Linked DNA regions of Pelodiscus sinensis. The protein of the gene in region 3 interacts with the protein of the main gene of each other region in a pairwise test. Links are inferred from orthologs where the notes say so. Each region holds a gene or a part of one and is shown on either strand. Other genes may lie near its edges. The genes, in order: WWP1, WWP2, ARRDC1 and ITCH.

Evidence for each region.
Region 1: the proteins of ARRDC1 (region 3) and WWP1 interact in binary tests that used the Homo sapiens proteins (3 or more experiments, as listed by UniProt). The link is inferred for Pelodiscus sinensis from reciprocal best matches to the Homo sapiens genes ARRDC1 and WWP1.
Region 2: the proteins of ARRDC1 (region 3) and WWP2 interact in binary tests that used the Homo sapiens proteins (3 or more experiments, as listed by UniProt). The link is inferred for Pelodiscus sinensis from reciprocal best matches to the Homo sapiens genes ARRDC1 and WWP2.
Region 4: the proteins of ARRDC1 (region 3) and ITCH interact in binary tests that used the Homo sapiens proteins (3 or more experiments, as listed by UniProt). The link is inferred for Pelodiscus sinensis from reciprocal best matches to the Homo sapiens genes ARRDC1 and ITCH.

The regions. Positions count from the first base shown.
Region 1 is NC_134712.1:45,701,749-45,709,335, forward strand, and holds the start of WWP1 (NEDD4-like E3 ubiquitin-protein ligase WWP1), read right to left. Parts: upstream 3,005-7,587; 5' UTR 2,986-3,004; coding exon 2,983-2,985; intron 1-2,982. UniProt on the Homo sapiens protein: E3 ubiquitin-protein ligase which accepts ubiquitin from an E2 ubiquitin-conjugating enzyme in the form of a thioester and then directly transfers the ubiquitin to targeted substrates.
Region 2 is NC_134722.1:1,626,622-1,633,920, forward strand, and holds the start of WWP2 (NEDD4-like E3 ubiquitin-protein ligase WWP2), read right to left. Parts: upstream 3,015-7,299; 5' UTR 2,923-3,014; coding exon 2,887-2,922; intron 1-2,886. Other genes in the region: RNA-binding protein NOB1, read left to right, coding at 3,036-3,137, 4,352-4,484, 5,395-5,528, 6,671-6,742, 7,177-7,299. UniProt on the Homo sapiens protein: E3 ubiquitin-protein ligase which accepts ubiquitin from an E2 ubiquitin-conjugating enzyme in the form of a thioester and then directly transfers the ubiquitin to targeted substrates.
Region 3 is NC_134732.1:3,461,096-3,468,584, reverse strand, and holds the start of ARRDC1 (arrestin domain-containing protein 1), read right to left. Parts: upstream 3,003-7,489; 5' UTR 2,884-3,002; coding exon 2,766-2,883; intron 1-2,765. UniProt on the Homo sapiens protein: Functions as an adapter recruiting ubiquitin-protein ligases to their specific substrates. Through an ubiquitination-dependent mechanism plays for instance a role in the incorporation of SLC11A2 into extracellular vesicles.
Region 4 is NC_134728.1:35,531,953-35,539,319, reverse strand, and holds the start of ITCH (E3 ubiquitin-protein ligase Itchy homolog), read right to left. Parts: upstream 3,013-7,367; 5' UTR 2,884-3,012; intron 1-2,883. UniProt on the Homo sapiens protein: Acts as an Acts as an E3 ubiquitin-protein ligase which accepts ubiquitin from an E2 ubiquitin-conjugating enzyme in the form of a thioester and then directly transfers the ubiquitin to targeted substrates.

The DNA.
Region 1 (7,587 bases), on a different chromosome or scaffold from region 3:
TGGAAGATATATTCTGGCTGTAGTGCTCCATGAAGCACACAGTAGGGAAGTAAAATCTCATTTAATTAGTACACAAATTTCAATTTGGGTTAAACTGGCTAACTGATTAAATGGAGGTAGGAGCCATGGCTAGGCTGGAGCGGATTCCACACCACAGGCAAGGGCTGCTCCAGCCCAGCTGCTTCCAAACCTGCGCTGGGCTTCCATCTCCCAGCTCACCCTGGCTGGGAGTCGGCAGCCACACACATGGCTGGTCGGGGTGGGGGGGAAGATGGCTCCCCCACACAGGCCAGAAGTGGCAGCAGGGTAAGAGGGAAGGTTGCGGCCCTGTGCGAGGCTGCTGATTCCCAGACCACATGAGCTAAGAGCCAGTAGCCTTGCAGGGCGGGAGCAGCCCTCCACTCACAGTGGGCCATAAGCAGGACACTGTCCCTGGGTAACAGTTAAACAATCACATTCCTAGTATGCGGATGGGTCACGAGGTCCATGAGAGCATGAAAGCCATCCAGCAGAAGGAAGGCCTGGGCCAGAGCAGACTCCAGCTCTGCTCCATAAACTCTCTGCATTGAATCAGCATTAACAGACTTTTCTGAATTCATCAACAGACCAAGCTGGTGGCATAGGCAGAGCAGAAGATACACATGCAGGTGGACATTGGACTAGGAGTCCCCCTTGACCAGCCTTATTGCTTATTCCCCCTCACCCCCCACCCCCTGGCTTTGCTGCCTCTGTATCAGAGGCAGGGAGAGGAAGCCAGTGCCCATGAGAAGCTGGATAAGCCTAACCTCCCTCCCCCCTCCCAGCCCCTCTCACTGATGCCTCTGAGAGGCAGCAGCATGAAGGGTGAGGGGGGCAGGTGGGACAAGCTTTCAAGCAGACTCCCCACACATGTCGACTCTATGGACCCCGCTTCCCCCGCACCTTGCTGCCTCCTACAGAAGCCATGCAGAGAAGGCTGGCAGGAGCCAATGCTTGGGGGAGCCAGCTTAAAAGATGGTCTCCCCCCCCCCCCCCAACAATAGCTCCACGGTACTGCCTGTCCCCAAGAGGCAGCAGAGCTAGGGAGGGCAGGGGAAGCTGCTCCATGCCAGCAGTCCCCATCTGCAAGGGGTCCGAGCTCCCCACAGACAGAGGTGGCTTCAGCATCCCACAGAGCAGCCTATGTCCATGGCAGCAAACCTTGGCTGTGGGCATACCAAGCTCTCTGTGGATAGGGGCTGCTGCCCCGGAGCAACCTCTGTCCATGGGGAGCTTGGACCCCCCCTTGGACAGGGGCTGCTGCCACCCCATGCTGCTGCTCCTGTAGCAGAGGCAGCAGCACAGAGTGGCAGGCAGAAGCCAGCTTTAACAAAACCAACTCCACCTGCCACCCCATGCTGGTGTCCTTGAGAGAAAGGCAGCAATGTAAGATGGCAGGGGTCTCCCCAGGAGTGGAGCCTGGAACACACTGGCTGCTGCCCTCCTCCCCACTACAGAGACTATCAAATAGCTGTGTAACTGATAAAATCCACTTGATTACAAAACTATTCAATTACACAATAACATTCCTAGTGCACTTCAGAAATCACAGAAATTCTCTATGAGCCCCTAAAAAATGGCAACATGGAAGTAAGCATCCTTGAGACCGAGGGCAGTGTGCCAATGTCTGGGATCCAGGGAAGAAATAATGGAGGCCAGGGAGATCATGCAGAACTTAAGCCTCACCAGGTAACAGTTCAGATCATGCAGATCCAGAATGGGTTGAAGTGCCCCTTCATCCTGTAGCCTCGGGGATGAGCAAGTAGAGGAAATAAAATCCCTGGTTATTGTAGCACTTTGGAACCTCCTACACTGACCCTCATCTGAACAAGTCCTTCAACTTCTTGCAGAAGGAGCCGCTCATGAGAAGAGTCCTTGAAGAGGGACAGGGAGAGGAGCGGGAAAGGGGGATAGACAAGAGCTGGAGGATACAACGCTGCCACGTTACACTGAGGACCCACCAGTCTGAAGTGACAAAGCACCAGGCTGGAAAGAAAGGATGGAGATGGTATGAGAATGTTACAAGACGAAGGATGTGGCAATATCAGAGGTACGTCGTCCTTGAAGGTACCCTCAAAATAGGTGCTAGAAGTGGGCCTGGGAATGGGAGAAGCCAGGAGCCAGGATGTGTGGAAGAGTGAAACAGACTCTCTCTTCCCTAGCAAATGTGCCCCCCCCCTTTTTTTTTGAGTCCTCTCAAGGTTGGAAAGACGGAGATACTAGGATTTGAGGATGGAACTTCTTATGAGCCAGGCCCAGAACTTACAGGCTGAGGGTGTGGAAGGTCATGAAAGAGTCTTTTAGTCCATGGAGCTTAGAATCTCCTTCTCACAGGGCCACCCCATTTAATTAGGGGAGATTGCCTATCTCCTAGAACTGGAAGGGACCTTGAAAGGTCATCAAGTCCAGTCCCCTGCCTTTGCAGCAGGACCAAGTACCATCTCTGACAAATTTTTGCCCCAAATGACCTCTGCAAGGATTGAACTTATAACCCTGGGTTTAGCAGGCCAATGCTTAAACCACTGAGCTATCCCTCCCCCCATTGAAGCGGAGAACCTTCACTGACTGCTTTGCCTCAGGAGAGAGTCTGGAGAGAAGCAACCATGATTCTCTCCACATGGAAATAGCCAGCGCCATCAAGCCCCAGACCCCTGCTCAAGAACCATTATTCTAGAGTACCTCTTTTTCTGGTAGGAAGGAGCTTCCTCTTCCATATCTCTCAAGGTTATTTGGTGGGGTGTCCACTCCTTTTGCTCCTTAGTAAATACCACCTCTTTTTATAGCAGCCTTAATAGTCATGATAATTTATTTTAAAAAAATATATACATCTACAATCACACACAAAAAATGTTTTGAGACGGAGGAAGGAGGTGGCTTTCAAAATGTGACCTGCATGTAACTAGTGCAGTGTTGCCTTTTAGAGAGTCTGAAAACAGCCCAAAATAAAGACTAGTCCACACTTACCATTAGATAGGCATTGCAGCAACTGATGCAGCAAGAGTCAATTTATCTGGTCGGGTGAAGAGCACTCTCCCATCAATTTGTATACTCCACTGTCCTGAGAAGCATAAGTGAAGTCTGAGGGAGAAGTTCTCCCATTGGCACAGCAGAGTGAAGACACCGCAGTAAGAAGATCTAAGTACATCAACTTCAACTATTATATTCATGTAGCTGTAGTTGTGTAATCCAGTCCCCTCCTCCCCTTAGTGTACACAAAGCCTGAGGCAGTATCTACACTACAGTTGTATTGCAAGAGTGGAGATCGATTCACTGGCAGTCAGTTTAGTGGGTATAGTGAAGACCCATCAAATTGACCACAGATCGCTCTTCAGTCAACCCCTATATGCTATCCCTGATGAGAAGCGTAAGGTAAGTCAACAGGAGAATGTTTTCCATCAACCCCATTCAAGATAGACGCCGCAGTATCTTGACCTAAGGTACATTGACTCCAGCTACATTATTGACTTAGCTGGGATTAGTGTAGATCTAGTCTGAAATGTGAACTCCCCTGCTGCCATTTGTTACACACACAAGAGTTAATGCCAGTGGGCAATACTCACTTTAATAGTCAATATTAACTATTTCACTGCTGATCAGCTGAACAGATAAGAGGGGAAATGAGGTGGAGAAGGGTGATGAAGACAGAAAAAAACCCAAGGAACAGTGGTGATCCTCAAGAAGAGTATTTAAAAAAAACAATCCTTCTTACTGAATATTACAATTTTAAAAATAAAAGTAAAAGTTTATTTACTACACTGGGCCATATTCCACAATGATTCTTTGTGAAAATCGCCCACTGCCATCTGTGGGAATTTGACTGTGGAGTAAGGATAATATATAGTCATAAATTTATATTCTGAGCCACTATCATAATTAAACATGGAATTCAGTCTTTGGTATAGAATTAATTTGGCAGTTCTTGTTTATGGCTTTCACAAAATGCAGCAGAGTAAAAAAATAACAGGATTCTTGTTAATTTAATTGTTGCTATTTAGAACACTGTGACCAGTAATGAAACAAGTGAAACTGACCATTACTTTCATTCCGTTGTTTAGAAAAGATATGAACAGCAGCCACAGCACTGGTGCTGCCTGTAAACTCAGGAAGACTGCACTGCATCAACTGCAAACATAAGAGCTTGAAATCTAATTTTTATTAATGAAAAGGTTAAAACTTGCAAAAGCTACTGAGCATCACACACAACCCAGAAAATTTTGAATTTAGCACTGGCAATAGTATTTTACAAACCTGTCTCAACTATCCAGTGAAAATTTCTTACGAATTTCTGAAAGTGTCATTAATTAAAAAGTGGAGTGGTTAACAGTACCATGAGTAACATGACTGATCCCTCTGGAAAGAGAAGACTTTGAATAGGCATGCAAAAAATTACACACACACAGTAAGTACAGTTGGGTTTTAAAAAGAGATTTAACTTATAATTTACATACTTTAAGGTAATATTACTAAAAAAACTATAACAGTATTCTTACTAACAAAGTTCATATTTTGGTGCAACCATGTGGTATACTTGCTTGCCAAGTTGGCCAAGTAAAGTACTGAAATTACAACTAAGCATTTTTTTTAAAAAGTTATTTACTCCCCCCATTGGCTTCATTTTCTGCATCCTAGTTTTAAAGTGGCTATCTTAAAGCAGCACTCAACACCTAGTTTTGGTTCTAAATGTATATCAATTTTTGTTTTGTGAAGCCTGTTTAATGTGTTAATTTCTAAATATTAAAACAATTTTATGTCAAGCTTTATCCTCTTTTCTCAAAGTCGTCAATGAGTGAGGAAGACTCATCCCCTAGATCCCTGTTTTAATCACAGTACAAAACTGAAAACATTAGAAGGATCTCTCAGGCTCCACTATTTCCTTTTCAGGAGAGAGGGAAGAAGGTGATTAGGATGGCAGGGTATTCCAACTCAGCATTCATGCACCGAATTCTGAGACAGGTTTTTTTCTTTTTTCAGTGTTTTTCAAAGAGTCAGGCGAGCAATTAAGGACAAGACTAGTAGAGAACAACGAAACAACTATGTCTCCATGAGTCCTTCCATGATCTGAGAAAAAGTGGATCACCTCTATCTTGGATCCTTCCACGGTGCCCTTGTAGCACAGGCAAAACAGAGTTCAAGTTTGGTCTCAAATAGGTGTGCAAATCTGCTAACATTTTATTTGTTTCATTAATGTATTTTTAATGTAAGACTTTAAAAACTACAGGCAGTCCCCGGGTTACGTACAAGATAGGGACTGTAGGTTTGTTCTTAAGTTGAATTTGTATGTAAGTCGGAACTGGTACATATTGTAGGGGAAAACTCTAGCCAAACATTTCTCCAGAACTCAGTTTTATTCTCCCACACCTCACTTCCCTCAGTCCTTTATTCTCAAGCTGACGTGTCTGCTAAGAAAAGCCGCTCTGCGTCTCCCTGGTCTGCTGGGGTGGGGTGCTAGCTTCGCATCTCCCTGGTCTGCTGGGGGGAAGTAGCTAGTGTGGGGTTGCCTCACCCCGTTTGTAAGTAGGGATCCGATGTAAGTCGGATCCATGTAACCCGGGGATTGCATTTGCTACCCCAACATATCCTTTAAGCTTCAAAGAAACAAACTGAAGCCCACAATTGGTAAGTTACTCCAAGAAGGCACACTCTACATCAGTGGTGGGCAACCTGTGACCTGAGGGCCATATGAGGCCCATTAGGGTTCTGTATGTTGCTGGCAAGACATTGCATTTACTGTTGCTCATGCACAGAGTTGTCAAATTCTGCTGGTTTCTTTTGGTGTCTTTTTCCCCCCTATCAGTATTACTAAAGTGATACACATGTAAAACAAAGGCATGTGAAGTGAGGAGCAAGTTGATTGAACATAACATTGACTGTGAAAGCAGTGCGCTTCTTCTGCATCCAATCAAAGCACTCTTACGTTTCTGTTGACGCATCCTGCAAATTCTAGGTACACAAGTGCAGTTAGCAAAACTACCGTATACTGAGAGACTATCTTTGTCACAAAAATTTCGCAGCCCACTGAGATGGACAGCCACTCATGTGGCCCACTCACTAGCCTGTGATGCCTAGCGCTGCCCTAGATGTTGCAAATTCGTACCTATATGAATAGCTTCACATATATGCATTATGATCACATGTATAACTATGTAACACTAAAAACATTACTGGCCATAAGCACTACTCCACAAAGCACATTGTATCCAGGAGTGTTTGCAGAATCAGTCCATTATAAAGAAGTCTAACCTATTGTACACACCACCACATGGGGAAGAGAGGTAATGGCATAAGAGTGCTAAAAAAAAAATCAACTGGTCTTACAAGTAATAGGAGTTTCATGTATTTTGGCCTCTCATTTCACTCATGTCTTAGGGCCGAGTCTAAGTAAGCTACTGCCACCTCCTCCCCAAAAATAAAGAAAAGACCATGAACAGTTTTCATTTTGGTCAAGCCTTTACAGCTCATTAGACCATAAGTTAGGAAAACACTGAAATACATTAACTGAGTTCAAATGTAGTAGATTAACATTAGTTTATCAAATCCCATTTAATAAAAACCTCAATGAATTTGTGAAAGATTATAAGACATCATCAATAATCAATTTATTCTTTCCCCAACAAAACTGTTTAGTAGCACAAGCAAAATATAAATGCTGCACTATTTTTATTGGAAGTGCTATCCATCCATTCATTCATATGTTAAATATACTAAATATGTGACAGCATAATCTAGTGAGCCAATTTCTGCATAATTGTATAACCTGGATAGCTACCCAAGAATACCATTCTGATGATTTCCTATATGAATAGGAGATCATCACGGTATTTTTGAAAATGACTTTGTCAGATTTGAACATTCTGTTACAAATTCATGTACTAATTTTTGTTCATATATTTTGACAGATTGTTTTAACTAAATCTTGTTTAAAGGGACGTACAGCAAAATGCATGCCTTTAATGTAGTTCCATTTAGACACCTATTTTGTTATTAAAATAAGGATCAGTAAATAGAAAGAAGTCACTACAGTAAATGGAACACACACTATGCTGTTGTAGCTCACGATAGCATTTATAACAACAGCAAATAACTTCTGCATATTCTGTTAAACCACTGACATTTTAAAATACAAATATCAACCACTGAAGGAGTCAGACGTTACACAGCACCAGAAAGATTTGCAGGCACTTCTAAGCTGGGCAGTAACAGCATTAATTGTCCCTCCAGCCCCACAACGAGCTGCAGCAAAGCAGCCCAGTACCTCCCCTGCCCATAGAAGGAGGGTGGGGAAGGCAGGCGGCAGGGTCACGTCTATCGCGGGGGAGGCTTGGGGTATCCCTGGACCCCTGCCCGGTTGCGCGGAGGGATGTTGCATTTCTGTTACCTAACTCCCTCTCCTCTTTCACCGCTCTAGGTAAAGCGACAAGGGCCGCCTCTGGGACTGCCCTGCTGCTTCCCTGCGACTCAAGCGCTTCCCACAAGCTCGGCACGGACACGGGTCAGGGCTCAGCCCCATCCACCCCCTTGGCCAGGCCAGGAACGGCACAAACAAGGTTACCCGCCTGACACAGAGACCCT
Region 2 (7,299 bases), on a different chromosome or scaffold from region 3:
TGAATTCCCAGCTTCCTTAGCAGGCCGCCTGCATGCCACGGCCCAGGCGCTCTCAGCAGCTGCTCCCAGCAGTTAGGAGAAGGAGGAGGAAGAGGAAGAGGACGAGGACCTGCATGGGGGGAGGGATAGCTCAGTGGTTTGAGCATTGGCCTGCTAAACCCAGAGTTGTGAGTTCAATCCTTGCGGAGCCCAGTTGGGGGCAAAAATTTGTCAGGGATGGTATTTGGTCCTGCTGTGAAGCCAGGGGACTAGACTCAACTTGATGACCTTTCAAGGTCCCTTCCAGCTCTAGGAGATAGACAACCTCCATTAATTTGAATTACACAGCAGGTGACAATAGCAGGCCACAGGCACATGGCATCTATCCACCCCAGACACTCACAGCTCCACCCCCACCCTGCAGGATCCTTCTGTGGCTAGAAAGCCCCTTTACACTGACAGGGGCTGTGGGCTGCTTTAACAGCTGATGCGTGACTAACCCAGTCACACAGGAAGGCCTCTAGCCCCGTAGGAGCAAGCCAGCTCTGCCCAACCCCTCTCTTCCCTGCATGCTCTGGACTGATGGAGCTGAGGAAATAACCAAAGGCTTGTATGCCCCCACTGCATTTGCAGCCAGGCTTGTGGCAGTGAACACGTAGGCAGGAGCGCATGAGCGATGCTGGAACGTGCACGTTCCTGCTGCCGCCAAGGAGCTAAATGTCAAAGTACCATTGGTAGATGTAAACGAACCGTGAGACAAATGGGGCAGTTTGCACTTCTCAAGGCTACTGATGAACTGTCCTGCCAAGGCGGCAGCAGCCGGCCTTGCTTTCACAGCGGGAGGGGGCTAGGGAGAAAACTGGAGCCAGACTGGTGCAAAATCCTGGGACAGGACCTGCACCCAATGCCACAGAATACACAGGCCCTGCCCTGCCCACTACACACACAGGCTACATCTACACTGGCCCCTTTTCCAGAAGGGGCATGTTAATTTCACCTGTAGTAGGAGGGAAAGTAGTAGGGAAAGCTGCGGGGGATTTAAATATCCCCCGCAGCATTTAAATAAAAATGTCCACCCCTTTTTTCCGGCTTTTCCGGCTTTTAAAAAAGCCAGAAAAGAGCATCTACACTGGCCCCGATCCTCCGGAAAAAGCACCCTTTCCGGAGGCTCTTATTCCTTTGAAGTAGGAATAAGAGCCTCCGGAAAAGGGCGCTTTTTCCGGAGGATCGGGGCCAGTGTAGACGCTCTTTTCCGGCTTTTTTAAAAGCCAGAAAAAAGCGGCGGACATTTTTATTTAAATGCCGCGGGGGATATTTAAATCCCCTGCGGCTTTCCCTACTACGATAGGTGAAATTAACATGCCCCTTCCGGAAAAGGGGCCAGTGTAGACGAGCCCACAGAGCTGGAAACACTGCCCAGCCACCCCACCCACTAGGGGCAAACATGCAGGCTCACCCACCTCATAGCACCTGGCTACTTGTGGGATGCTGTGCCTCAGGGAGTCTTTCAGATCAGTTTCTGGCATGAAGTAAAGGAAGTGGCACATGCCCTTGAAACACTGGCCAGCTTCCAGGGGGGATGGTCTCCTGCTTTCTGCCCTCTCCCCCCACAACCCAATAGCCATTGAGCTGGTGCAATGTGCACACAAGAATATCTGCTGCTCCACTGCACCCCCCCCAGCCACAGGGGAGGGAGAACTACACAGAGCTAGCCGCAGATTCAGGAAGGCAGCTCAGACTCTGAGCTTATAAAAGGTCTTTGCACTCCTAAGGGCTGCACAAAAGCTGTGGCTACCCGGAAAGTTTTCGATCCAACAGGGGATAAGCACCCAGGTGGATTTTTGATTTTTGGTTCCAGCCCTGAGCGTGTGGGTCTTTAAGATGAATCTAAACTGCACGTGACTTTACTACACAGAATCTAAAGCACAAGGGGTGACTCCAATAGTAACACACGTCACCAATTTGGAGGAACAGATCACAAAACAATTCACAGGCGCTGGGGCCCTGACACAAGAGGGCCCCTCACCACGTTCACAAGCGGGAGGAAGCGGATTTGCAACCAAGCTCCAGTACTAGGAATTTCTTCCGTAAGCGCAGCTGCTCTCTTGGTGGAGTTGTCCTAACAAGCTGTAAAGCTCCACCCCTTTGTGTGTGTGAACAGATCACTAGGATATAAACCTCCAGTCCACGCAGACCTTGAATCCTGCACCCAGTTCTAGTCACCCCAGCTCAGAAAGGACACAGTGGAAGTGGACACGGTTAGCAGGGAGGGACACAGACGTTGGAGGCTACGGCGTGGTTTCCACACAAGGAAAGATTAAAAAGACACAGACTGCTCTGAGCGGTCTGCACGGGCCCTTCTGCTAAAGGACTGTACCCGAAGGGAGCAGCGCAGTATCCCCGCCAGAGGCGCTGATTTCTCACACGAGAGTCCGGGTTCAAGCGGCCCGTGCAGACAGGTCTAGACGCAGCCCCGGGCTGGAAAGGGGACGATGCCGGATCCCCCACTGGCCCGGCCCCACGGAGCCCAGGATGAACCAGCCCACGGACAGGACCCCCCCGCGGCCCGGGGGAGCAGAGGACGGAGGCTCTTGGCGGACTAAGGAAGCGGCGAGACCCCCCCCCCCGCCCGGCCCGGACTCGCCCGCGGGTCCGACGCGTTTCCGGCCCCAGGCCCCCGGGAGCGGCCCCGCTGCTGCGCGGGGCCCGGCGGGGGGGGGGGGGGGGGGCCGGGACCGGGTCTCGGCGGGGGGGGGGGCGCCCCGGGACCGGGTCTCGGCGGGGGGGGGGCCGTGGGGAGGCGGCGCAGGGCCCGGGGGAGCCTCGAGCCGCGTTACGGGCCCGGCCCAGGACACACGCGGGGGGGGGGGGAGATGCCGAGCCCCCCCCCGACCCCTCTGCATTTACCGGCGACGGCTTCGCCTCCACTTCCGGCTCCGGCATTCGCGATCACGTGACGCCGGCTCGCCACCTGACTCGCGGCCCGGAAGCGCGTCACGGGGGGGAGGGGGAACTCCCGGCGTGCCCCGCGACCGCCGCATACTGCCGCTCCCAGAATGCATCGCGAGCTCGCCCCGGGCTGTGCGTGCGCCAAGATGGCGGCGGTGGAGCACGTCGTGGCGGACGCGGGGGCCTTTCTGCGCGGGGCGCCGCTGCAGGTAGAGCGGGGGGGGGCGGGGACCCTGCGGCAGGGAGTTCCGCGGGCCCCGGCCCTCGGGCAGCCCCAGGGCGGGGGGGGCCCCCCGCCCTCACCAGCGGCGCCCGGAGAAAGGGGGGGTCCTGCAACTGGCTGCGGCACCCCCCGACCCTGAGTCACGTCGCTCGCGAGGGGCGGAGCTGGGGGGGCGCAGCCGCAGACCTGCCAGGCGTCATGTGACTGCCCCCCCCCCGCCAGTCGCCCGAGCCCTCAGGGACTCTTCGCCCGTGGCTGCTCCCCCCCCCCCCCCCCACGAACCGACACGCGAAGGGCCCTTCTCTCTCCTCCCAGGGCAGCTGCTTCGGGGGGCCTTGGCCGGGAAAGGGCCTCTCCCCCCCCCCCCCGTCACCTTTTGTCCACGTGTTGGTTGAAAAATCAAAGAATTTGAATAGTTCCTCAGTAATTCAGGCGGGTTGAGGGCCGAGTGCCCTTTGCAAAAGCCCTGCTGGCCCTTCCCAACAAATCCTGTTCCGCGAGGGGTCTGAGCATTTTGGTTTTTTTTTTATTATAGTTTCAACCAGTTCGCCTGGTGCGGAAGTCAGAGTTAGCGACCAGCGATTGCCGGGATTTCCTGTGGCGCCTTCTTTTAAAATGGGCATCATGATAATTGTTCTCTAGTGACCTGTTCCAGAAGCTGATTTGAGCAGTAGGTTACATGCCATAGAAAATAGCTTTGTAATTGCATATTTTAGAGAAATGTTCATATTTCATACTATCTGGCCCTAGTTACTGCTGAATTTATCTCAGAACTTCTTTTCTATCAGCACGTCAATCTGGAACAATTCCTCTGACTTATCACCTACAAATAATAGCTCAAGTGTGAGAATCTGCCTCATGTTCTCTGCAGCAAAGGCTGATGCAAATAATTCATTTAGCTTCTCCAGAACGGCCTTATCTTGCCTAAGTCATCCAGTGACCCCACTAATAACTGTAGAGCAGGGAAGCCAGGTTTTTGTCTGCCCTGGGAGCCCCTTTCCCAGCTGGATGGTGGGAGGGTGTTGTTATGAGTGCTCTTGTCTCAGTGTCTGGCTCCACGGTGATGGGCGTTGTGTATGGAGCTGCTTTTGGATCACACCAGGCTGGCTACGGAACTGGGCATCCCCAGGTCCTTTCTGGTCTTGGTCATTTGTCTTTTAGTTCCCAGTAGCAGAAATTCTTGTGTTTCTCATACACCAGGACTTCGGCAGAAACGTTTACACAATTAAGGAGGTGGTGAGTGAAATCCGGGACAAGGAGACCAGGAGGCGACTGGCCGTGCTGCCCTATGAGCTTCACTTCAAACAGCCCTTCCCTGAGTATGTTAAACTAGGTAAGTGAGCTGGCCTCATGGGCACCTGGCAGAGCACTACGGCAGCTGCCCACAGCCAACTCCAGTGGCCTTCCTGCCAGGGCCGGTACTCGCACGGCTTTACTCACAACAGCTGTGCTCGTTGTAGTTTGTCTACTCTGGATTCTATGAAGCACAGGTCAAGGTGAAAGTCCCATTCCTTTATTTAGCTCCTGCTCCTGCGAGAGAAACAAACCATTGTGTCGGCTTGACAAAGCCCTGGCTGGGTTGATTTAGTTGGGATTGGTCCTGCCTAGAGCAGGGGGCTGGACTTGATGACCTTCTGAGGTCTCTTCCAGCTCTATGGTTCTATGATTGTAAGTATCAAACGTGCTCTCACCATTAGTGCTATGAATTTGCTCCCTAGCTTAGCGCAATAGTTTTTACTTTGGCTTCTAATCAGGTTTGCTTCCTAGTTCTTGGGACATAGGACAAGGCTGTGATTTCTGGGGGGAAAGTTCACGGAGAGGAGGATAGCGTTCAAGTAAAACTGTTTTTGGGGAATGAATCTTTGATCTGCTTATCCCATTGCTACTAAAACCTACCTCTTAACCTTACTGTCATTAGTCAAGAGAAAGTGACACTACCTCTGGATTCTGCGCTCTTTAAGAGAGCAGCACCCCTCCCCCCCCTTTACGTACAGCTAGCCATGGACCAGAAGAAAAGACCTGAGGAAGAGATTTAAAGAGAAAATGCCCTTAGGAATTGAGGGTTTGGGGAAGAATTCTCAATAGACGGGAGTGTTCAAAGAAAAGAACAGCCTATTTAGGTACCCCGAGTCCCCCCGCTGTATTCATATATTTCTAGGAGGCCTCCCTAAGAGCCGTGTGTCTGCGAACCGTCGGACTCAGGCAGGACTCCCCCCTGTGACCACACACTCACTTTGTTACAGTGACAGAATTCTCAAAAAAGACAGGCGACTACCCCAGCCTGTCAGCCACAGATCTCCAGGTGCTAGCCCTGACCTACCAGCTGGAGGCAGAGACCGTTGGAGTGGCTCATCTGAAGACAGAACCAGAAAAAAAGGTAAACTCCCTTGAGTGACGCATCCAGGCTTCTGCCATGGTGCTGGGTGGATGAATGGGCGGGTCACACGTTTCGTGGGGAGGTACAATGCTGGGGGGGAGGAGCTTAATTCCAATTCTTGGTGTAAAATTTGGGCTGAATCTATTTTTGTGACTTGGTGCCATGTCACATGACCCTTTGTCTGGTCTCCAAAAAGCACTTCTGGGTAGCCGAGAAATTTGAAAAACAAATAATTGAAAAGAAGCATCTGGCTGCAATAAAGAATGTAGGTAAAACATTAGCTCTGAAACACTTGCGTTAAAAGAATTGTACAGCTGCACGGCCGTAGTCACCTCGCCCCGTTCCCCCCTCAAAATAAATCCAGTCTCTCTAAAATGCACAGCACAGAAAGTACAATACTGCGTGATGCGTGTAAACAGCTGTCAGTCAATACACTAGGTAAATGTGTGTGACTGCAAGGTAGGGTCTGTCACTTCTTACGAACACCTCATGGGTGAAATCTGCAACATAAAAGGGTTCTAAAGCCCCACGTTTGGCCCAGCGCAGATTCTTTAGTGCAGGTGCTGCAGAACCCCGCTGTAAGGCTGCGTTCCCAGCCAGCGGGTCACGCCCCTCTGCCTCCAACACTCAGCAATAGTGCTGAGGGGGGAAGGATGTTAGGGGCAGAGCTGTGACCTTGCAAGGACTCTGAGCAGCATTGCCACCTGCTGGGCAGCCTCCCTGGCTGCCCTAACTCTGGTGGCCCTGTGGGATTTGATTTCTGCTGGGAACCGCTCCATCCCCAGAGCCGGGGAGGCATAAAGGCAGCGCAAGCCCCATGCACTCCCCTCACCTGGATGTGGCCCAGCTTAGGAAACCAGTTCCCCCGCAAAGTAAGCATGTAGGGTGAGATCCTGGGGACTGAACCATGCTTGGGGGGCCTGTTTTAGCCATGAGTTGAAGTGTAATCATCCGCCAGCTGTTCAGCATCTTCCACTCGGTTTGGAAAGCCAGTCCAGTCAACTCAGCTCCATGGCTGGAGGGGTTCTGGAGAGATGCCCCAGGCCGTCCCGGTGTTCTGGCCTGGGAACTAGCCCAGGCCGGTCCGGGTCTGGAGTTCTGCTTTGCCTGCTAACCCCATTGCTGCTCTTAATCCCCCGCAGGTTCAGCTGAGCTCCACCATCCGGCATCCAGAGGCGCCTGTGAATATCGCTGGGTTCCACCTGCCATCCAAGGTACCTGTTTGCATGCGCCGGGATAACCCTCTGGGGGTCCTCCAGGGGAAGGTGCTAGCAGGGGGAAAAGAGCCTTCCACGCCCACAAAGGCTCATTTCCGGTGAGGTTGCCTGAGAGCGTTGTATCCCGGGAAACTGAGGCAGGGGGTGTTTCATCACAGGCAGTGTCAGGACAGGAGTGGAGCTCGCAGAACCTGGCCCTGCGAACGGTTACAGGGTTGCCTGTGCTGGCCTCCTCCCTTCATGCTCTCGCTTCTCTTCCAGGGCCTCCCGGCTCCTTGGGAGTGTCCCATCGTTCTGCACGTTAATCCTCTGTCCCCACTGCCTGTCTAGGATCAAGCAGTCAGGCCTGGGCACCAAGGAGGCAGCGGCAGCCCCAGGCTCTGGGGATGTCCCAGCAGTCTAGTAACTTTGTTGTATTTATTCTCCCCCAGTCCCAGCGCCTGGAGGCGGATGCGTGCGTGTCCACCTCGGCAAGCCGCCCGCGGGCAGCAGAGGACAGCCCCGAGTTCGGGGCCTTCCTGTACTGGAGGAACCCTCTGCCCAGCATCGAAGAG
Region 3 (7,489 bases):
AAGTCACACATCAGGAGCCTCCAGACAGCAACAGGCCTGATTCTCGTTTATTAGTCAAAGCCCAACTGGTCCCAAGGGAAGATGCTGAAGTGGGACTTTCACCGCACACTGGAGCATGAGCTCTTCACCAAGGGAGCTGCTTCTACAGAGGTCTTCAGAGGCCACTGCAACTTGGAAGCCACATAGACTGAACAGCACGGGCAGTGGAAGAGCGAGGATCCTCTGGACCCAGCCATGGGCTTTGTCTCTAAGCTACTCAATTTGTCATCTCTTTAATCTCATGTTTGACTAAGCAGTTAGGTTGGGGTTTTTTTTTGGGGGGGGGGGGGGAGAGCAGGAGACTATTCTCTGCAAGGTCCCTATACACAGCCTCTTTCCCCACTCCCTTACATGGGGCTGTAACAGAACTATTGGCTGTAAAGCAAGACACACACACTTCCAACAGTTCTGACTGAGCATCTTCCATGCGGATGATGCAGTAACCTCTTAAAGCAAACCCATAAATCAGTCACAATTAAAACACACAACAGAAATCAGAGCAAATAGCCATACAACCTAGCCTCTCCTGCCATACACATGCTACAATGACAACAGGGTTCAACACTTGGTCACAGTTCAAGTATTTTCCACAATAGTTTGGCCTCTAAACACAGAGAGATGCCACCTTAGGACCAAGTATTAACATGTGCTCCAACCCAGCTAGCTATGACTTACGACAAGCTGGGACAAACTGGAAACAAGCCAGCACCCAGATATTAAACTTCATGCTTCCGATCTTAGCTAAAAGGAAGAGGTCTAGTGGTGGGAGGAGGGGAGGAGAAGGAGGGAGAAATGGGCAGAGGACAGTTTCTCTCAGTGTACTGTAGGATTTTTTTGCAGCCAATATTGGAGACAGTACTGGAGTACATGGACCCTGGAGTACTGGAGTACATGGACTTCCTACATTCCAAACCCCAAGAATTCCCTACACTTTATGGGGAAGCTCAGAATCAGATCTTAACTGCTTGTGCCAAGGTCCGTCTCCAGTAAGATCACAGCTAGATGATGGGTCAACACTACATGTCTGTTTTAGGGTTTATAGCAGGGCTGAGCAAGAATTCTTGGAGTGGCTCTCCATCAAGATTTTGGTAAGTGATTAAGGAGCTGCACTTTTCTATGGAGGGAGCGTGAGGTCTGGGCCAGAGGTTGGGTGTAGAAGGGAGCCCAGGGTAGGGGACTGGGGAGCAGAAGAGAGTGTGGGGTGTGAAAGGAAGTTTGGGTGAAGGAGGGGGAGTTGTGACTTGGGGTGCAGGATCCAGGAGGGGATATGGGAATGGGGGAGGAGAGACATAATGCGCGGCCCCTGCCCCCAGCACGCTCACCACAGCTCCCATTGGCCAGCTGATGCCATGCCTACAGGCACCGGGCAGACAGCCTGCCTGAGAGTCCAGGCGGGCTGGATCCAAAGACTTGGCAAGCTGGACATGACCTGCATTTTGCCCACCCCTGGTTTACAGCATCCGAGGTGCCTTCCCCCAAGTAAAGGCTGTTAAGAGTCGTGCCAGAAACACCTGAAATCGAGAAGGGTCCTAGCAACAGCTCTCCAGCCCAAGTCTGAAAGGGGAGCATGCGCACACACCTTTGCTTTGTCCAGATACAGCTCACACCAAACCCAGGTGGGAGAGAAATTAAATTACATACACAGGGAAACAACATGTGGTCCCCTGGCACCTTAGAGACTAAGCAGAATATACAGAATCAACAGCAAAACCCACTTCAGATGAACTGGAGGGGAAATAACAGAGAGAGACAGACAGTGAGTAAACTGTTGCTAACGCAGGCTATGCTTAAACACCCCAAAGCTATCCTGAGTCCCAGCACGCACCTACCCTTAGAGCAAGTTCTCTTCGTGCTGCCCGTGAGAGATTTTTTAAAAAACCAAACAAAAAACCCCCCACACGCAGAAGGGAAACTCCTCCGTCCCCACCCCCAGACGAAAAGGGAGGCAAGAGAACGGAGGAGAGGCTGGAGGAGGGCGGCCAAGTCCTAGCCACAGGAGGTGGGATGAAACAACACAAAGCCCCACCAGCGAGGGGATGGGCTGGATGCCTCCAAAACTGCCCCCCCCCCCCCCCAGCAGACTTCGCTGAAAATCCATCTCTTGCGAGTCACCAGGCAGGCAGCTTCTAGTCAAGCGGCGTGGGGGCGGAGGGGAAGCAGTTTACAGAGGCCCAACCTGTTCACACTGAGCTCAGCCTTTAAGTGCAGGGATGGACCCGGAGGGCAACAGGGGAGCCTGCGAGCGGTGAGGCTCCGGTACCGGGAGGCCAAGTAAGGGGCGCAGGTACCGCGGCGGACAAGCTCGCAGCCTTAGGGTCCTGCACCCGGAAAAACGCAATGGGCGAGGAGAAAGGCACGGCACTGCGGCAGGGAAGCTCGCAGCTCCAGGAGCACGCTGTTCGGGGCAGAGGGGTCCCGCTGCCCGGGGATACGGGGGGGGGCGGCACTGCGGCGGGGAAGCTCGCAGCTCCAGGAGCACGCTGTTCGGGGCAGAGGGGGCCCGCTGCCCGGGGATACGGGGGGGGGGGGGCGGCACTGCGGCAGGGAAGCTCGCAGCCCTAGGAGCACGCTGTTCGGGGCAGAGGGGTCCCGCCGCCCGGGGATAGGGGGGGGGGGGCGGCACTGCGGCGGGGAAGCTCGCAGCCCTAGGAGCACGCTGTTCGGGGCAGAGGGGGCCCGCTGCCCGGGGATACGGGGGGGGGCGGCACTGCGGCGGGGAAGCTCACCGCGGTACTGCAGGCTCCCGGAGAGGCGCACGGTGACGCTGCCGGCCAGCGGCTCCCCGGGGCTGTAGACGACCCGGCTCTCGCTCAGGCGGATCTCGAAGAGCTGCACCTTCCCCATGGCCGGGCCTCCCGCGGCTGCTCCCCGCAGGGCTCGGGCGGCGGCGGCTGCTCGCTGGCTGGCTCGGGGGAGGCTCCTACCTGCTGCGAGTGACGCGCCAGCCGGCCACGGCCCAGCCCCTTAAAGAGCCAGCGCCGCCCCGCCCAGCCCTGCCCCGGGGCGGTACGCGGGGGGGGGGGGGGGTCTAGCAGCTGTGGCCCCAGACGCGGGGTCCCTCCCACCGCGCCCCCCATCCCCGCGCTGCGGCCGGAGGAGGAGGGACCCCAGCCCGGCAGGCTGAGATCGGGACCCAGCCGGGAACCAAGCCAGTTTCCAAGCACCAAACCAACTGCCCCAGTGGCTAGGGGCAAAGGCACTGAGCCAAATGCCCCAGGTCCTGCCATGCATGGGCTTGTATAATTTTTGGTGGTGCCCCATTAGCCACGCCCCCGTGCCCTGTTAGCCACGCCCCCTTACACCCCCTTAGCCACGCCTCTGACCCCCCCCCTTTTAGCCATGCCTCTGGCGGTAACACAGAGGGGGCAAGATGGACACATGACCAGAAGTAAAAGATGTCATGTCACTCCTCTCCAAGAGCTTTTCCCACCATCCGCCTACCAACAGGGATTAGATTGGCCCCCACCAAACCGCCCGCATGCAACTATCCTGCAGTTGCATTAACCCAATGTGTGTGACATTAACTCGGGGCAGAGAGGCTGGGGGAAGGGTTCCCTCTAAGGCTCTGTCTACGCTCGCGGCTTCTTGCACAAGTACAGCTGTTCTTGTGCAAGAACCCACAGAGCAGCCACACTGCCTGCCTGCTCTTGCGCAAGGAAATTTACAGTACGGCGTGGTAAGAGAGGGCGTCTTGCGCAAGAGCTATGCTCTTTTCTAACAAGTGTAAGCTCTCTTGCGCAAGAGGGCAGTGTGGATGCTTGGCAGGGATTTCTTGCGCAAGAAACCCCTATGGCTAAAATGGCACAGCTCGCACATGGCACTGTAGACGTGCTTGCACAAGAGATCTTGCACTAGAACCCTTACGCAAGATGTTCTTGTGCAAGAAGCCGCCAGTGTAGAAATAGCCTAAGAGTTTCCTCCCATGAGCAGAATGAATTTTGTGTTGTGCACCAGTACTGAGTTCATGTGGCTTGTTTGGATGACAGCAGAGGAGGGTGAGGAGTTGGGGTGGGAAGTAGCAGGCACCAGGGGAGCTGATGGAACAAGGGGAGGAGACATGGCAGCAGAGAGAAAAGGTTAAGGTTTAAAAATATTTATTAATAACTTGGGGGCCACAGTGGCACTGCCCTTCTCACTGCCCTCAGCGCTCCTGCAACCTGCCCCCCTCCACCAGCCCTTCTCTCCCCCTTGTGCCCACTCCTCCAGTAGCCCCACTCTGATCACGTGAGCTACCCCGCCTCATCCTCTCTCCTAACACCTCCCTCTACAAACTTGCCCTGCCTCTCTCCTTTGGTGCTGGTTCCTCCCCTGCAGGTGTCTACCCTTCTGCTTCACCCCCTGGTGGGCAGGAGCCAGGTTGTAAGTATGCTCTGTCCCCAGTCCGAGGGAGGGAGCATAGGATACCCCAAGTATGCTCCCTCCCTCCCTGCCTGTCCTGTGGCACCATCCCTGCTGTGTTTGCTGGCAGATTGTGGACACTGGAAGAATAAATAAACTCTGTTCATCCACCGAACAGGTACAGCACAGGTAGCCGCAGTACAAGCTTCCCCCGGCTGCTCAAAACCTCAACTCAGACTTTTACCTGGCTCCAAGTCGCTATGAGCCTTTATTTTGTTGTCCTGGGTCTCTCTGTGATGGGAGGGAGGCAAGAACTGTGAGTCATGCTGGTGGTTTCCTGTGATGAGAGCAGCTCCCCAGTACAAATTGCCTTGAAACCCCACTTAGCAGCTACTAGCTGGGTTGATTATCACCAACCTGGCGGGATTCACACTGCGGATGGAAGTCTTGGCTCTTCTGGCACATTGCGTAGTCGCCTGCCATTGCAGTAGCATTGGCACAGTCCCACTAGTAGTAGAGAAAGGGCTCTGTCCCATTAAGGATCCCAGCCCCAGTGGCTTTCATCCAAGGCATTTTAGCAAGGCTAATCATGAAGCTTCACCAGGACTCTTGGAAGTCAGTAAGCATAGAATGATTGGGCGAGATGGCAGGGCCGGCAGGTATAAGAGGCATGGGAAGATGTTGCCTTCCCACACTACCAGGCTTGGCCTCACCCACACTGGGCCACCAGAATGCCAACGTGGAGCCATGCTGAAGCAGTAGGCATTCTGGGGGTGGAGTGTTGCTGCCCACGGGCTTCAGCCATGCTGAGACTGCGGATGCTGGGGCAGCTCCGGGGCCAGGGAGGCTGGGGACACATTCCAGGGAGGCTTTGGGCAGAAGGGGTGAAGCTGGGAGCTTGCTTCCCCCAACCTTACGCTCACCCACCGCCCATAGTAGAAGGGACTAAGTCATCCAGGGTGTGTCTAAACTACATGGCTCCCTCGATGGAGCCATGTAGATTAGGCTGATCGGCAAAGGGAAATGAAGCTGCGATTTAAATAATCGCGTCTTCATTTAAATTTAAATGGCTGCCACTCTGAGCCGACAAACAGCTGATCAGCTGTTTGTTGGCTCAGCGTGCTAGTCTGGATGCTCCCACACCGACCTGAAAGCCCTTTATCGACCTCCTCGTTATGCCTCGTAGGATGAGGTTTACCGGGGAGGTCGATAAAGGGCTTTCATGTCGGCAGGGGAGCGTCCAGACTGCCCCGATCTGCCGACAAACAGTTGATCGGCAGAGCGGGGCAGCCATTTAAATTTAAATGAAGCCATGATTATTTAAATCGTGGCTTCATTTCCCTTTGCCGAACAAACAAATCTACATGGCTCCATCAATGGAGCCATGTAATTTAGACGTACCCCTAGTGCCAAGACACAGGCTTGATGAGTCTAAACCACCCAAAACAGTGGTCTATCCAGTTTCCTCTTTCAAAACTTCCAGTGAGGCCTCTGTTCCATTGTCCTACTGGTCTTACAGTTAGGAAGTTTTCCCTTGAGATTTAATCTAAATCTGCTCTGCTTATCTGCAGCTACATGAATGCCCTGAAAGCTCAATGCTTATCTAACAGCACATAAAGAAGCATGAGGAATAATATTTTCAGAGTGAGCTGGTGAACAAAAGGATGTTTTGTTCACTGTTTTTAATTACATATTTTCTGTTTAATTTGAATTTTTACTCATTTTGGGGGCAAAAATGTCTACAGAAAATTATGTTTTTTAAAATTGTTCTGAAATGTTTTCATGCGATTGTGTATGTCTAAATCCCACTTTCTCTTCTTTTTAAAAACATCTCCCTCCCCGCTTTTTTCCCACTGGAAAAAAAGAGAAATGTAAAAAAATATGAGGAAGAATTCTAAAACAAAGTTTTTATTTGGAAAGTTAATTGAAAAACTAAACATGCCAAGGAATATGAAATTTTTCCTGGAGAAATGTAATTTGTCAGAATCCCAGATTAAAAAAACAAATAACCACATCTGTTTACAATTTTTGGTCCCAAGCACACCTTCTTCTACCTGGGGAGCAAAGAGTAGCTGTACTTATAAGATGAGGAAACCAATGTACACGTGCAAAGATGAGTCATAAGTGTGAAATATTATTAGTATATCTACTATCTACCCCAGAGTGTTTGTCTGTTTGTTCAAGAAATCCTCTTACACTATAAGAGCTAGGACCACCAAATTTGGTATACAGTTTCCTCTTACCAAACTTACAGCAACGTAAGGGTTTGGTTGTGCCAGAAAAGTGGGATGTGCCTGGAATGGGATTGCTTCTCAGAAAACCAAACAGAAAAGAGGTACAATCACCAAGTACGTGAAAGGGGCTGGCTGGGGATGCAACCCCCCTCCAATATAGGACTGCCCCAGCTCTGAGCCTTCCACCCCCAAATGCCCTTTCGGAGAGGTGGGGGCTGAAGCTCTCCCCCAGATTCATACAGGGACATTGCTGGCTGTTCCCCTACATTAGGGAGCAAGGGGAAAGTCCACAGTCCTCACTCCAGCTGGGAGTGCAGGGGGCAGACAAGCTGTGTACTTTGCTCTAACTTCCTGACAGGGCCAGGACGGGGAAGAGCAAGCAGACCTGGTACAAATCTTGACAGGGGGTGGGGACTTTGGTCCTCTCCTCTCCACACACCCAGTCCACTGCCCAGAGTCCCTCCTCACTCCTGCACCCCCAAGATCCCCACGCCTTTAGGGATCTGAGCTATGCCAGGTATAGGAGCTAGGGGGAAGGTGTAATAGCTAAAGCTCAGGAGTTTTCTTCTGAATCAGATCTAAGTGCCATTCCTTAGTCATCTCTTCCTGTGTGACTTGGGCCAGTTGTGTCAGTCACTTCTCTGCGCTTCAGTTTCTCCACCTACAAGCGGAGGAGTGTTGTACCTTACCAAGGGAGGCTGTGAGGCTGAATTTGTGAGGCAACCAGCGACCTCAGTGAGAAACGCTGTAAAAATGTCCCTAAATAACTCCGTCATGCCTGACAAGTACATACACATAGGCCAGTTATGTGAGCCCATCCAGGTGCTCTTTCTTTGTAGTGCAATTGCAAATCACAGGGCCATTTCCAGATGATGTGT
Region 4 (7,367 bases), on a different chromosome or scaffold from region 3:
TGGTCCAGTAGCACTGAGGACGCTACCGAACCAACCCAGCAACACCCCAGCTGCTCTGCCCCCAGCGTCCCCAAGTCAGCCGCTGCTGAAACTGACCAGCCCGCTGGTCAGTTTCAGCAGTGGCTGAATGGGGGACAGCTGGGGTGCTGCCAGGTTGGTCCCGCAGCACCGAGGGGCAGCGCTATGGGACCTACCAGCAGCACTCCAGCTGCTCTGCCCCCGGCTTCTCCAATTCAGCCGCTGGTCAGTTTCAGCAGCAGCTGAATCGGGGAAGCCGGGGGCAGAGCAGCTCCAATGGTCCGGCTGCCTGGAGCACTTCCGGGTTCCTGATGGTGCCGGACCATCAGATGCCAGACCAATGGAGTTTTACTGTACATCTATTCTACTGCTGCCTCTCAAAAATCTGGAGCTGCCTTCCCTGTTGTTATAAATTATAGCTATCAAAACAAGGTAAATCTTGAAAGAGGTGTGGCCCAAAATTTCAGACCCAGTTAAATAACTCGCACATCATTGTAATCTTCCTCTACCTACAATTTGGATTTTATTGTCTCGCAATGTCAGTCCTACACATTTAGATACTAGAGGATCAATAACTAAGGCCTATCGATGTTTCCAAAACTAGAAGTGAGGGGCCCAACGTTGCCATTCTAGAGTGACTTTATTTACTAAAGATTATACATAGTGTACCAAAACAACCATTCACATTGCAGTTACAAACACTTATGCTTTAGTGTTCTGGGCCATCATTTTAGGACACTGCATTATTTATAGGACAAAGCAAGTAAACACTAGTGAGATGGCTGCAGCAAGATTCGTCAGGACAGAGTGAAGACACTAGTAGTCAAAGGAGGTTCATTTCAAAGTCTGGGAAAGGGGCTGAGCTAGACAATTATTGGATTGAGAGGAATAAATTGGGGGGAATGAGTTATCAACTCACACAAGCCAAACACCTGGTGGTGATTTTGGGGGGCAGAGTGTATGAATAAAACAGGCATCATGCAAGATAGAGGAACCTAGCAAGAGACAGCAAACCACCCCAGGGCTGGCAAATCATCCAGAATCAGACAGCCGCTAATGAATACCCCCAACTCAGGGTGAGCGCAGTAGCTACAAACCAGGTCAATGAAGTCTATCAACCAGAATGGGCTGGTGATTGACTGGACAGTGAGAAGACTGTAGTCAGAGCACTGGATCTGGTTGCCAAAGTGTGCTGGTCAGCTGTAGGGTCTGGCTAGAGATTAGATCACCAGGGTCTGGCCAAAGGGGGCTGGCTGAATGGGGCAGTAGCAGGGAGGTCTGGAAGCCAAAGAGCACTGGGTGGGGCAGTGACCGGGGGGAGGGGGGGGGGCAGCCAGAGGATGCTTGGCAGAAGGGCAAGGCAGGGGAGGCCTGGCAGTCAGAGGGTGGGGCAGTGGCAAGGGGAAGAAGCTGGCAGACAGAGGGCACTGGGCGGGGCAGTCGTGGTGGGGGGTGTCTGGCATCCAGAGGCACTGGGCAGGGAAGTAGGGAGAGTCTGGCAGCTGCTGGGCGGGGCAGTGGCTGGGGGGGAGTCTGGTAGCTGGAGGCACTGGGCATGGCAGGGGCAGGGGGGAGAGGGGTCTGGCAGCCGGAGGCACTGGGCGGGGTCCCACGGGAGGCAGGGCAGTGGCGGGGGGGGGGGAGGGTCTGGGCGAGGCAGTGGCGGGGGGGGGGGTCTGGCAGCCGGAGGCGCTGGGCGGGGCAGTGAGCGGGGGTCCCACGGGAGGCGGGGGGGGGGGCGCTGGGCAGGGCAGTGGCTGGGGGGGAGGGTCTGGGCGGGGCAGTGACGGGGGGGGGGGTCTGGCAGCCGGAGGCGCTGGGCGGGGCAGTGCCGGGGGGGGGGGTCTGGGCGGGGCGGGGCAGTGCCGGGGGGGGTCTGGCAGCCGGAGGCGCGGGGCAGTGCCGGGGGGGGGGGTCTGGGCGGGGCGGGGCAGTGCCGGGGGGGGGTCTGGCAGCCGGAGGCGCTGGGCGGGGCAGTGCCGGGGGGGAGGCTCTGGGCGGGGCAGTGCCGGGGGGGAGGCTCTGGGCGGGGCAGTGCCGGGGGGGGGTCTGGCAGCCGGAGGCGCGGGGCAGTGCCGGGGGGGGGGGGGTCTGGGCGGGGCGGGGCAGTGCCGGGGGGAGGCTCTGGGCGGGGCAGTGCCGGGGGGGGGTCTGGCAGCCGGAGGCTCTGGGCGGGGCAGTGCCGGGGGGAGGCTCTGGGCGGGGCGGGGCAGTGCCGGGGGGGGGGGGTCTGGCAGCCGGAGGCGCGGGGCAGTGCCGGGGGGGAGGCTCTGGGCGGCGCGGGGCAGTGCCGGGGGGGAGGCTCTGGGCGGGGCGGGGCAGTGCCGGGGGGGGTCTGGCAGCCGGAGGCGCGGGGCAGTGCCGGGGGGGGGGGGTCTGGGCGGGGCGGGGCAGTGCCGGGGGGGAGGCTCTGGGCGGGACGGGGCAGTGCCGGGGGGGGGTCTGGCAGCCGGAGGCGCGGGGCAGTGCCGGGGGGGGGGTCTGGGCGGGGCGGGGCAGTGCCGGGGGGGGGGGTCTGGGCGGGGCGGGGCAGTGCCGGGGGGGGGTCTGGCAGCCGGAGGCGCGGGGCAGTGCCGGGGGGGGGTCTGGCAGCCGGAGGCGCGGGGCGGGGCAGTGCCGGGGGGGGGGGGGGCGCGGGGCGGGGCAGTGCCGGGGGGGGGGCTGGCAGCGCTGGGCGGGGCTGTGGGGGGGGTCCCACGGGGGGCGGGGCAGGGGCCCCAGGGGCCGGGACCGAAACGCCCCCGCCCCGCTCGCTGCGAGCCCCGGGGCGGGAGCGGCTCCCCCAGCCCCCCCCGGCGGAGTCGCGGCAGCGCTTCGAGAGGCGAGCGGGCGGGCGCAGCCGCTTCTCCGCGGCGGACTCCTTACCGGCCGGGGCGGCGGGGCCAGCGCCTCAAGCCCTCCGCCAAGATGGCAGCCAGTCCGAGCCCAACCTCAGGCAGCGACTTTCCAAAGTCGGACGGCCACGACGCATGCGCAGAGTCAGCGATGGCGGAGGGCGTGGAGGGTGAAAACTACAACTCCCAGAATGCCCCGCTGGGAGTACGCACGCGCACTACCTGGGCGGACTGGGGTCGGACTGTCAGCTGATGGGTCGAGGGAAGCCGGTGGACTGGGCGCTGGCGCGGCTCCCGCAGGGGAAGGGGCTGAGGGTGGGCCACCAGGAATGGAGACTGGCCGCGTGAGTGGCCCCGAGCCCCGCGCTTCCCTGCTGCTCCCCCCAGTCCCGCCCCTCCCCCTCCAGAGCTGGAGCGAGTCAGCTGCTCCCCGCGCTCCGCCCCTAGCGGCCGGGAAGGGTCTGCAGGGCAAGCCCCAGTGGGCTACAGGTGCCACCACCAGACTGAACCGCGGGGTGGGTTCCCGGACGGATCTGGGGGGGGCGGGCTCTGTGAGCAGTGGGGGTCCCACAGAAAGGGACTGTTGGACTCTGTGTGAGCTTCCCCATAGGGATCCTGGGGGAGAACTTTGTGCAGGCAGGGGGAACTCACCTAGACAAGGATTATGGAGAGCCTCTGCTCACAGAGACCTTGGGGGCAACTCTGGGAGTAGGGGCCACCTCCCCGACAGGAATTTGGAGGGGGTTCTGTGCAGGTAATGTGGCACCCATCCAGACCGGGATTATGGAGGTGCTCTGTGCTAGCAGTGGAGTCTCCCCATAGAGGGGTGCTCTGTGCGGGTTCAGATGTGCTTTGAATTTATTTCATACAGAGAAGGTATAATATGGTTATTCTTTGAAAAGTGGCAGTGGAGGGTTTCACTTTTAATCTCTAAAGGCCTAATCCATCATCAGAATGGCAAATCCCAAAGGAACATGGCTGCTGCAACCAGCTCCAGTATAAAAAATTTAGCAGCACTAAGCACCTTAGATAGAAACATAAACACTGGTACAGTTTCAAAAAGAGATTTCTGCGTTGCATGGATCTGTGTACCTCTTTAGGTATAAATGCACTTACAGCACTGAAATCCTTTTCATCCACAGATCTGTCATGGAAGGAGGAAACAAAGCATACTTTCCAACCATTGCCTGCTATACCACTGTACCAGCTAAGAGTGAGAGGATAGTTCAGTCTCCGTAGTCTGGTCAATCCTGGGCTTCTACTGAAGCACCAGCAAGACTGTTCATTAATAGTATATTAGGACGCATTTTTATGAACTAATGAAGATTAAGGAATTCATAAAGTTCAACAGTTCATAAAACTGCACATCTCAAAATTACAGTAGGTACTGTGCATAAGTATTGCTTTTTCATGCCCTTCAGACCGCTGCCAAGCAATTCCAATGCACTGATGGCATCAGAACATGAAAGGTTGTGGACTTTTTCTTCATCAACTTCACTTTTATTATGTGACTTTTTTCCCTCACAGGGAAAAATGGTTTGTATAATTGTTTGTTTATAACATAAATCTTCATAAAATCAAGGTTCTGCTGTAATACATTGCACTTTTACACATTGATGACCTCCTGAGGTCTCTTCCAGTTCTAGTGTTCTATGATTATATGATCTTAAAGCACTTTGGCTACGTCTACACTGGCAAGATTTTGAGCAAATACTTTTAACGGAAGAGTTTTTCCGTTAAAAGTATTTGCGCAAGAGAGCGTCTACACTGGCATGTGCTTTTGCTCAAGAGATGTGCTTTTGCGCAAAACCAGTGTAGACGCTCTCTTGCGCAAGAAAGCTCCAATGGCCATTTTAGCCTTCGGGCTTTCTTGCCCAAGAAATTAACGTTGCCTGTCTACACTGGCCTCTTGCGCAAGAATACTTGCGCAAAAGGGCTTATCCCTGAGCGGAAGCGTCAGAGTATTTGCGCAAGAAGCACTGATTTTGTACATTACAACATCAGTGTTCTTGTGCAAACACTTGCAGCCAGTGTAGACAGGCGGGAAGATTTTGTGCAAAATCTTGCCAATGTAGACACAGCCTTAGAGAAAAACTGGGGTCTGGCAAAAGGGGGCTGGTTGGATGGGGCTGTACCAAGTAGGTCTGGCAGCCAGAGGGCACTAGGCGGGGTAGTGGCAGGGGGAGGCGGGTGTCTGGCAGCCAGAGGGCACTGGGCGGGGTAGTGGCAGGGGGAGGTGGGTGTCTGGCAGCCAGAGGGCACTGGGCGGGGTAGTGGCGGGGGGGGGCGGGTGTCTGGCAGCCAGAGGGCACTGGGCAGGGTAGTGGCAGGGGGAGGTGGGTGTCTGGCAGCCAGAGGGCACTGGGCGGGGTAGTGGCAGGGGGGGGCGGGTGTCTGGCAGCCAGAGGGCACTGGGCGGGGTAGTGGCAGGGGGAGGTGGGTGTCTGGCAGCCAGAGGATGCTTGGTGGAGGGGCAAGGCAGGGGAAGCCTGGCAGTCAGAGGGTGGGGCAGTGGCGGGGTAGGGTCCAGAGTGCTTCATTTTTTCTTCTTAAAGCACTTTGAGGAAAAATGAACTGGAGCACTGGGAGAGCTTTTGCCCAGCACTCCTGAAGTGGCCACACTGCCAAGGCTGTGCTTTAAACTTTCAAGCGTAGACAAAGCCTCAGCTTGTTCATGAAGATGGAATAATGCTGTCCTACAAGGAAGGTATTTGGGAACACTCATTTGAAATCCTGTTCGGCTACTGAGGATACAGATGTCATTAGTGGGGACAGATGCATGGTTTCCCACTCACATCCAGTAATAGTACTAACAAAGACTTCAAGTGATATGAGAGATTATCATTTCCAGGAGAATCAATGTGAGCAAAAGAAACAGGAGTAACTATTTTGTATGGCACTTGAGCACTACTGTGTTACTTATTTACACTGAAAAACCCAAAAGATCATTGTGTCCATTTATATTTATTGAAACCCCAAAAGAGCCCCATTGTGAGGATGCTGGACAAACTCTCACAGGCTTCTTCCTGCCAGAAATGTTAATTTTAAGAAGATAAGCAACATATGGAGGATGTTGGAAATATGAACTGTTACACACAAATACTTTTGTGAGCCCAGTGTTGTCTGCACATAATACATTACATGCAAAAGCATTATATTAAAAGACCTTTAAGATTGCAAAGTCAAACACTTAAAAGTTAGGAAATGCCTGAATTAAGGTGCTTGTGCTACACTAGTGTGGCTTCTTTGTGTGTAGGCATAATAATACATTCTTTAATTAGCTGATCAGATGCTAGCATTCCCAGGGGACCCCTGCTTAATTCAGTGAAAAGGTTGGTGCACAGTGAATGGGCAGCTATTTGGTATTTCCTGTTATCCTCATTATTCAGTGTGCATCTACTGGATAAAAGGAAATATTGCACAGCTACCTTATTTACTGCACCACATCCAAACCCTGCCCAGAGGACAGAGAGTGTTTCTGTACAGTTCTCATTATAATATCTGAGTACCACACACCCCAATGAATTTGTCTTCATGGGCTGTGGTGGCATTAGTATCACCATTTACCGATGAGGCACAGAGAATAAGGGCAAATGTGTCCCCCTAATGTTAGATGCCCCAGATGTCTCAACGCAGGCATCCAGAAAACGACACACACACAATTAGAGACCACTGGTGCAGATTCTGGTTTAAGTGATTTCCCTAGCCACACATAGGAACTCTATGATAGTTCTTGAGGGTGGCATTTAATTGCCTTCATCATGCAATCATCCTTTTGATATTACTGTTCCCCCGGCCCCCTGCACAACACCGATTCACTCTCAGAGCCCAATCCAGTCTAATAGTGTATGGCTGGGTAATTAAAGTCTATTATAATCCACAACATGGTCCTTGTAATGTACATCATGCACAATGTGCTTTAGTCAAATAAGTTATTGTCCTCAGTATAGAGATAAATGGGGAAATTCTATGGTCTATGTTATACAAGAAGTCAGCCTAGTCCTAGATGATCTAATGGTCCCTTCCAGCTTTTAAAATCTAGTTAGTTATGAATGAATCACAAGGAAGCCATATTAGGGTTGACAGGGTAACCTTAATTTTGGCATGTTCGTGTTGAGTGCTTATATTTGCAACCATAATGTTCTTTTAACATTTTTAAATGTAAGTTTCCGAATGTTTATATAAGCAAACTAAAAAAAAAAAAAACCACACAAAATTCACGATGTAGAACTTAATTGAACTTCATAGTCACCAGCAATGTTGGGATCTTTAGATTCACAGTACAGACCTTGGCCATTTGAACCAATGGAATAGCTGATAGCAGTAGTAGGTTGTTATCCTATATGTGGTCAGCCACTAGAGCAGGATGATACCCTTTGCCAATGAGCATCACAGCTATTTGCCACAGAGTACAAGAATAGTGAGGCATAGAAATCCTGAGTTCAGTTTTAGCTGCTCTAAAATGTCTATAGGCCTTTCTGTTCCTGTCCATGTTTGTCCTAGTGCCCCTCTACT